Coturnix japonica: one gene and its partner. The protein of the gene in region 2 purifies or fractionates together with the protein of the main gene of each other region. This does not show direct contact. Links are inferred from orthologs where the notes say so. Each region holds a gene or a part of one and is shown on either strand. Other genes may lie near its edges.

Region 1 (4,402 bases), on a different chromosome or scaffold from region 2:
ACAGTTCTCAATGCAAACAATGTGAACAGCAAACAATGTGAAATCGGGGCCTTACCTTTGCTACCACCTGTGTCTAAAAATAATAATTAAGAATAATACAAACCAAATCAAGGAATTCTCTTTAACTGACTTGAGCCACAGTGAGAAAACACAAGAACTTATTTCAGTAACAACTGAGCAACCACAGAGCACTCTCCTACCCCACTGCTTCACAGTGGGAAGAGAACAGAAGGGAGAACTGCCTGCTATCACGCACTCACACAGCACTCCCCAGAAAGAGCAGCAACTGTAGACAGAAGATTTCTCTTACTAACAGCCACAGCTTATACTAACCTTCAGAATCTAAGCACCTTTCAAATTTCTGGGATAACTGATAAGTATCGTAACAGCGGATCCTTGGTTTGTAAGTTCCTGAAAGAAGAATTTGATTTTTAATAAAAGCGTTAAACAAAAAGGTAACATTAACCCTTTTATAAAAAATATATGATGTTTTACGTATATATTCTTCACTACGTCTATGTTTCTGTGAACGAAAAAGAGGCCTCTTAGTAACAGAACTTAACATTACCTTCCAGTAAGACTGAAAGACCAAGCCTCGTGACATTAGGGCTACTGAAGTAATCATGTTAGGATCTCACTCTAACAGTTAACAGTTACAAAATGTAGCATTATCCTCTATCCTTAAAAAAAAACACTCAGTGATACTCAATAGTCATTTAAAGGAAGTTTGTACCAGAAGGGGTTTATACTAGACATAAGAAGGAACTTTATCTCTCAGAGAGTGGTCAGGCACTGGAATGGCTGCCCAGGGAGGTGGTGGAGTTGCCATCCCTGGCAGTGTTCAAGAGGTATCTAGATGAGGAGCTACAAGATGTGGTTTAATGATTTGCTGTAGCTACAGTAATGGGAGGATGGTTGGACTAAATGATCTTGTAGGTCCTTTCCAACCTTGTCATTCTATGATTCTACGATTTATATTCTATGAACATACTATAAAAACAAACAAGTTGTTGTTTTCATAAGATTGGTATTCTTCTAATACAGCTGAAAATTAAGCGTTTCTCAACCTAAGTACTCAAACACTCATTGCATCACATCTTAAGAGTAGGATTCCACAATTACATTCAATGCTTCATTAAATAAACAAAACTAAAAACCCTTTATCTTCTACCTGTCATATTCTGTGATAAAACATTATTAGTACTTTGGCCTCTGCTACCACGGGATCCTTAGTTAACTCACCAACTGCCATAATATACTGTCCATCTCTTGATACCTTAATCTTGGTGCTAATTGTGGGCATTTCAAAGTCTTGAATAAGTTCAATTCTTCTACGGATATCTACAAAGGAAAAAGAAATACATATAAAGTCAGATTATTTGTAAAGCTAGTACTATTATCAATCCAATAATGAAATCATTTCTTATATGTTGAGTTTCTTGTATGTTTATTTCTTGTATGTTGAGTTCACTGAATAAAAATGAATATTTGTTAAGATACATCTTTGTCTTTTACATAGGCCAGGAGAGCAATGCAGTACACTAACACTGAGATGCCAGCTATCACCATACCAAATAGATGTCTATAATGAGGTGCTAACCATGTGACAAATTATACCTCACATTCACAAAACAGTCACACATTCTACACAACAAAGATATACAATACATTCCATCACGCTGTTACCTCCATGAATATTTTTTTAGTTGGCTGCTTTACACAGTGCTCATGATGGTATGTAAACATCTCCTTTGATATTGCAAATTTAGAGTAAAATTTAAAGGTTGAGGGAACTGGGCTTGTTTAGCTTGGAGAAAGCTCCAGGGAGACCTCATTGTGGCCTTCTAGTACTTGAAGGGAGCATATAAACACAAGAGGGAATGACTGCTTATGAAGGTGGACAGTGATATGACAGTGGGGAATGGTTTGAAACTGAGACAGGGGAGGGTTAGGTTGGATATTAGGAGGAAGTTTTTCACTCAGAGGGTTGTGATGCACTGGAACAGGTTGCCCAGGGAGGCTGTGGATGCCCCATCCCTGGAGGCATTCAAGGCCAGGCTGGATGTGGCTCTGGACAGCCTGGTCTGGTGGTTGGCAACCCTGCACATGGCACGGGGCTTGAAACTGGATGATCATTGTGGTCCTTTTCAACCCAAGCCATTCTATGATGATGATGACACGATAAAATCACAGAGCTGCCCTCTATGCTGAGCTTAATACATACACAGGAGTCTACAGCTAGATTTGATCATAAAACATTTGTGGGATGCATCCACCACACTTGTATTTATTAAAATAAGTTGTGCACGATTTCCTTGAGTCAGCAAACTGCCTACTCCTGGATTAGCACATCAGATGTGTACAGCCTTGTTCTGCAGAGGGCTGCGATGTGAAAACTCACCCACATCTTTCTTCTGCAGTGCTCTTTTCTTCCTGTCTGAGAGCCACTGTAAGGAAATACAGGCATCAGTATCCACATTATAGCACATGAGTAGAATCAGAGAACTGTTATAGTTTAGGATCTGCCTGAAAGATCACTTCTTTCTTCTTAATTACATTAAAAATCCCAGTAGTAAGAATAATCATCCCACTTTTCAGTATCTAAAGGGAGCTCATAAACTGCTGGGAGGCAATTCTTTACTGAGCGGACCCTGGGCAGCCTGATCTGCTGGGGGAACCCAGCCCACAGCAGGAGGGTTGGGATGGAGGGGCTCTGAGGACCCTTCCAACCCAAACGTGATGAGATTCAACGAGAAAAGAAGTAGAGAATCAGTGTTCGCAGAGCGGGCTGCGGAGAAGCCCACACGTCAGTCCCGCCCCCCCTCAAGGCTCCGTGCCGCTCGGGCTGCCCCCTCACCTCCGGGAGGCTCCTGCCGGCGCTCAGGCTGTAGATCTTCACCTCGTTGAGGCTGGAGACCTGCATGGCGATCCCACACACCTCTTCCGGGCCGTAGGGGAAGCGGAAAGCCGTGCTGGGCTCCGACCCGGCAGCACTCCGTAGTGGATGGGCGGTGCTGCTGGCTGAGCTTCCCGTTCCCGGCCGGCTCTGAAAGTGGGCAGGCACCAGGCTGGGGGGTTAGGAGGAAAACAATATATCCAACCTGAACCTCTCCTGGTGCAACTTGAAGCTATTACCTCTCATCCTATTTCTGTCACCTGAAAGGTGAGGCCAAATCCACCTCACCACAACCTCCGTTCAGGTGATTGTAGAGAGCGATGTTTCCCCTCAGCCACCTCCAGACTTTACAATCCCAGTTCCCTCAGCTGCTCTCCATAAGATTTATGCTCCAGTGTCTTCACAGCTTTGTTGCCCATTCTCTGTGCACTCTCTGGGGCCTCCATGTCTTTCTTGATGCTTTTAATTATGTATTTCAGCAAATATAATACCAATATCACCACTTCCCGCTTTGCGTTAGAATTGAGACCATAGCTGAGACCAGAACACCTAAATGTAGGTGTCTACATGGGTACGATATATCAAAGCTCCCATTTCAGGGAGCTAAGGCTTCACTCACCTAAATGTAGATTGTCTGGTGGCATTTGAGCTGCCTCGTGGTATCCAGGACACCTAGATGGGGTGACACAAGACCTGTGGAAAACCCATGTGCTATGTGGCGTGAGCTGGAAGACATCTCAAATGGCACTAGAAGCTCAGGCAGCTGAATTGCATACCTAGTTAATCCCAGTAATGAAGCCTGAGGAGCAGTGTGGCACAGTATCCACCTGGTGTCTACTTCGGGGTGAATTCAATCTGTTTCTAAGTTCTACCAACTCATTCCTAAGACTGTCGCTAGGTGTTAACAGACATACAAAGGCTGAATCCATTTGCCCACATATTAGGTGCCTCTTGCAGTTCAGGACTTCTTAAGGAATCCCAGACATCCTCCCCAATTGTTTGATATGACACAAGGACACCTCAACAAGGTCAGGAGGACTGAAACAATGAAAAATTCCCAGAGGTTTAAAACCCATGAAGTTCTGAAATACTGAGGAGATACATGACTTTGGGTGAGGAAGGATTCCTGATCCCTTCTTCAGTACTCTAGGTATATTTCAGTGACCATACAGCAGACAAAAAGGAATAAAATACCTCTGTCTACAAGTCTGAATCTGAGTGATGTAACTGAAGCTCTGACAAAGCTTTTTGCTTTATATGTGCCCCAAATATCTGTTACATGCAATAGTAACACTTTTAGGCTTTCAGTTCAGGTGAATAGAGTTGGGCGGTTAGGTGTATTGACTTCAAATAAGAGTGATAAAGAACATTTTCAACAAGGAGCACATAGTTTTGCCTGCTTTTCCTCGTTTTATAGCATGAAAATTTGCTATTGATACAGTGCTTTGAAACAACATGATGGTAAGCAAAATGGGGGTAATCTTTACTTGTTTTTATGGTACTAAA
Region 2 (4,344 bases):
TCAGTTCTGCACATACAAACCGAAGCATTAATAAATTAAACAGATGAAGTTGAGCACCTTGTGTTTATCAGCCGGAGCACGCAGATTTTACTTACCATGTTCAAGAATCTACTACAAGTCTCATCAGATCAGTATCATTAACAACGATCCTAAAAACATCTGAAGCAGCTCCAAACTGAAGTGATATTTGCTGTTGCTTTGACAGCACAGGCCCTTCTCTTTTGTGCTGCATTACTCCTGATTAGGGCAAATCATTGCAATCACAGACCCAGCACAGAACTGCTATCTACACAGTGTCTCAGGACAAAGAAGCATCCCAGCTCTACACCAAGCAGCAATAACCAAGCCATTTACTTTTAAGAACCAGCACAGAAGAGATAAATGAACTTCAATACCCACATGAAGCAGAAACAGCAGCAGGACCCAAGCTGAGGCTCACCAACATCACATAAGAGACAACACAGGCTGTCGGAGATCAGTTAGACATAGACAGACATCAGCAGTTCCCATACACTCATTAATGATTAAGGCAATATAAACTAACAGCTACAAACACACGTGGCTCAAAGCCCTCACTTTCCTATTAATGCTCTCTCACACATATAAAAAACACACCGGCTACAGCAGACTCTATGCAAAGTAAGAAGTTAAAAGAATTCTTACAGCTCTCCACAGCATTGTCGAATTCCTGTCCACCTTCCTTTCTGAAGAGGGGGAAAGTATCTGGCTGAGGAAGCCGGTTGGCTATTACAAGTGCCTTCTGCATCTTGATTCTGCCTTCCAAGATGTGATCCCACAGTGCTTCGTAAGAGAAAGGGGGGAAAAAAGAAGTTATTTCACAAGCCAAAGCACCTGCTCCTTCCCCATCCTATCTGTGATCCTGACTGCAACCCTGAGAACCACAAAAACTCCGTTGTCTTCACTGGTTAGAATGGACTTGTAAATGGACAGTGGTAACTTGACTGAATAGACTGGAAGAAACTTCAGCATTTGAAGAACGATAGCAGATAGCACCACAGCACAGAACTAACAGTGTAAAGTCCCCCTTCCCACCCAAACTACAAGTACATTCAGTGTGGGTTCAATTAAGCCAGCAGAGAAGTATACTCCATAATATGAGATTTTGTAGGAGCGGTGATATCAATGTGCATAGCACGTTTAGTGCAACATCTGCAAACAACACAGGCTGCTGTAGCTTGCACACGCACTGCACCAACAGCAAGTTAAAATGCTGCAGTGTCTCCTGTCACGGGCAGCGTCTGTAGTGTCAGCAAGGTGAATCTCATCAAAACACACAGCAAACATGCACTAACCCAGCTGATTCTTCACCGCTTTTCCTTTTTCCACTTCATCGCTCGCTTGTCCTTTGGAGAATGTCATCACCCCCCCATCATCCTCATTGTCAGTGGCGTCTTTTACGTGGTCATGGTTTTCCCCCTCGTATTTCTCATCATCGCTTCCTTCTTCCATGCTGGCATCATCTTCATCTTCTCCATCACTGCTCCCAACATCATCCATCCCCTCTGCAAATTTCTCAAAGTCTGTGACATTCTGGAAACTGAACTTTGGTGCTTTGGCAGAGGAATCCCTCCCATCATCTTCCAGGTTATCCTCCTGCTCACTGCCAGCACTGCTGGGTTGCTCCTCTGTTTTACTGCCCAAACTGCCATTGTCTTCTGAATCTTCACTGCCGCTGTACCACTCATCTAAGGCTTCTGCAGCTATTAATTCAAAGAGAAAAACATCTGTCACTCTGCCGTATGCAACAACGATGGGTACTGATCTGAGCACTAAACTTGGTTTAATTTTTCATGTTGACCAATTAATGATAAATAAGTAAATGAGTCTATACCCAGGAAAAGATCTTAGTTCTTATCTTCTATAACAATAATTAGTGACATGGTAATCAAACGGGTGTTCATAATTTGCTTTATGTATCTGTCTTTAAAATGAGATGTGCTTGCAGTCATCGAGATATATTGGCCTTAAAGTGACAACTACTTCTTTCCCTTCACACAGCATTCAGCCTCACCTCAAGGTTATTCCCAGCCCCTCCTCCTGAAGAAGGAGACCTCAATGGGGGATTTCCTTTCCCTTCAGATCAAAAAACATGGCCTGAATTTCAAGAAGGCACCTCAAAAAGACGCCCAACTTATTTCTACCTGTTTATAACCCCCCACCGTGGACTTAAAGCTTCTCATCTCAGTTGAGACAGCCCTAATTTGGTCTAGCATGCCAAAACTATAAGTATCCCAACTAAAAGCATAAAGAACTAAGATTCCTTACCAGATCCTTCTTCAGACAGCGCATCTCCCCACAGCTCTTCCCTCAAGGCTTTCCGAGATGTCGCTTTCCCACTGTACCTTTTATCAGCTTCTAAGAGGGCGGCCGAAGCGTTTCTCCGTATCTTACCAACAGGTAAAACTTCATCTGCAGCATCATCCTCAAACCTGTCGATCACTTTAGCAACTGTGGCTGTAGGAAAGGAAACAAATACATAAACAGAACTGAATTTCAGGCCAGAAATCGCCGCTTCTCCCACCCTCCCGCACACCTCAGGCCGCAGCTTCTCATTAGGGCCCACCCGGTACCGTGCCCCCCCCCCACTCTCACGGCGGCGGCTCCACGTGCAGCCTCGGCCCGCAGCCCAGTAGCCTCCCCCATCCTACCCCAGGCCGCCCCCCGCCCACACGGAGCCCTTCCCCGACCCCTTCTCACCTTCCTCCGCGTCATCCTCGGGGTCTCGCAGGTCGGGCCGGGGATTGAGCAGCTCCTCCAGCTGCTGCGCTAAGGGCGCCGCCATCTTGCCGAGCGGAGGGGGCGGGGCCTGGCGGCGCGCGGGGCCCAGAGGGGGCGTGGCCTAAAGTGGGCGGGGCCTCATAGTGGGCGTGGTCTCAATTGGGGGCGTGGTCTCCGTCGAGCCGTGTCCGCCCCCTCTCGTTCTTTGTCCGCGTTAAAGTACGCGGTGGTTCGAGCGGAAACAACCGCCATAAAAGAACCGAAATCCACCATCCGAACCCCCCCCCCCCCCCCCCCGGCACCGGGCTGACCCGCCTCCATCGCTACTGTCATGAGAATTCATATGTGCTGAGTGCTGGAAGGCACGAGAATGATGGGCTCTTACAGCACAGCTGTCCTATATAACTCAATATATATCTATATATCTACTACTTTTCTTCCCCCCTCCACCCCCAGTCTGCACACCCCTGCCATGTGAGCAGTGGGGGCTGTAGGGCACTGCCCACACCTGGCACGGCTCTGCTGCATCCAGCACCTGCAGCTTCGTGTGGGACCCCAGCAAAGCGATGTGGGATAAGTGACCCCCTCCCAGCCCCCAAACACAACGTATCACCTGGAAATGGTGGCTGGGAATAGAGGGCGGTGCATCTCTTGTGGGCAGTGAGAACGGACCCAGGTCGGCACCTCAAACGTGAGCTGTAGGTGGGGGCTTAAAGCTCCCACCCCTCCAGGAGCGGCCCCAGGAGGTCTATTGGGACCCCTTGTTTGGGATGGCACCGGCAGGTTTGTGATGCTGCAAAGTTCAACTGCATCGAGCAGGCGGTTCGTTCATCCCCTTCCTGCCAGCACACGGCTCGCCCTCACCACTTCTCTGCTTCTGAATGTTACAAAGATTAATCCCGACATGCATTCTAATTAGAGCACGGGAAGGCTCAGGCCAAGCCCGGCGCTTCTCCGCGGCTCCGGGATCCAGGTTGGTTCCCCCGAAGCAGGAGCGTTCAGTGCAGCCGCTCGTCCTACAGAGGGCAGAGGAATATCATTAATTACGGGCCCGGCGGCTCCCGCTCCCTGCCGGCCCGCACGGCACCCGCAGGAGGAGCCCGGGGGGCACTTCGCCCCTTTTCCCCCCTCTCCGGTGCCCTTCGGCTCCTTAGGAACCCGTGCATTACCGTCTGCTGCTGCGAGGACTGCATCTCTAGTTATATAGAAACTCACTGGAAACACACGTTATCATCACAAACAAAACCCCTGGATTTTATGCAGTCAAGTATTTACGGTTCCATTTCAACTTTATTTTGTATTTATTTTCTCGTGGTCTGAGTGACAGCTCTGATTCTCTGCATTATATTTGAGGTGTTTTATTATATTTGCTGTTGCTGCCGTGATGTGAAATTAAGGCTCTTCCACATACGTTACAGACGTTTCCAAAGCAGAAGGTGCAAACCGCCATCACTTCTGCATTCTTTTCCCCCTCCAAGTTCACAGCCGTGTTGTTTCCAGACTAAACGATGCCGTTACAAACAAAGGGAGGAGAAATAAATCCAGAGGAAGTGAAGGAGCAGAAACAAATGCTTACCTGAGCAGCTCCTGAGACGTACTCAGCCA

Evidence for each region.
Region 1: the proteins of AATF (region 2) and NOL10 purify together in Homo sapiens (affinity purification with mass spectrometry; 4 studies listed by BioGRID and IntAct, counting the BioPlex papers as one, with this or other methods). This does not show direct contact. The link is inferred for Coturnix japonica from reciprocal best matches to the Homo sapiens genes AATF and NOL10.

The regions. Positions count from the first base shown.
Region 1 is NC_029518.1:88,401,926-88,406,327, forward strand, and holds the start of NOL10 (nucleolar protein 10), read right to left. Parts: upstream 2,992-4,402; 5' UTR 2,924-2,991; coding exon 2,858-2,923; intron 2,448-2,857; coding exon 2,402-2,447; intron 1,342-2,401; coding exon 1,243-1,341; intron 412-1,242; coding exon 334-411; intron 1-333.
Region 2 is NC_029534.1:7,138,704-7,143,047, reverse strand, and holds the start of AATF (protein AATF), read right to left. Parts: upstream 2,855-4,344; 5' UTR 2,804-2,854; coding exon 2,719-2,803; intron 2,476-2,718; coding exon 2,287-2,475; intron 1,722-2,286; coding exon 1,314-1,721; intron 802-1,313; coding exon 664-801; intron 1-663. UniProt on the Homo sapiens protein: Part of the small subunit (SSU) processome, first precursor of the small eukaryotic ribosomal subunit.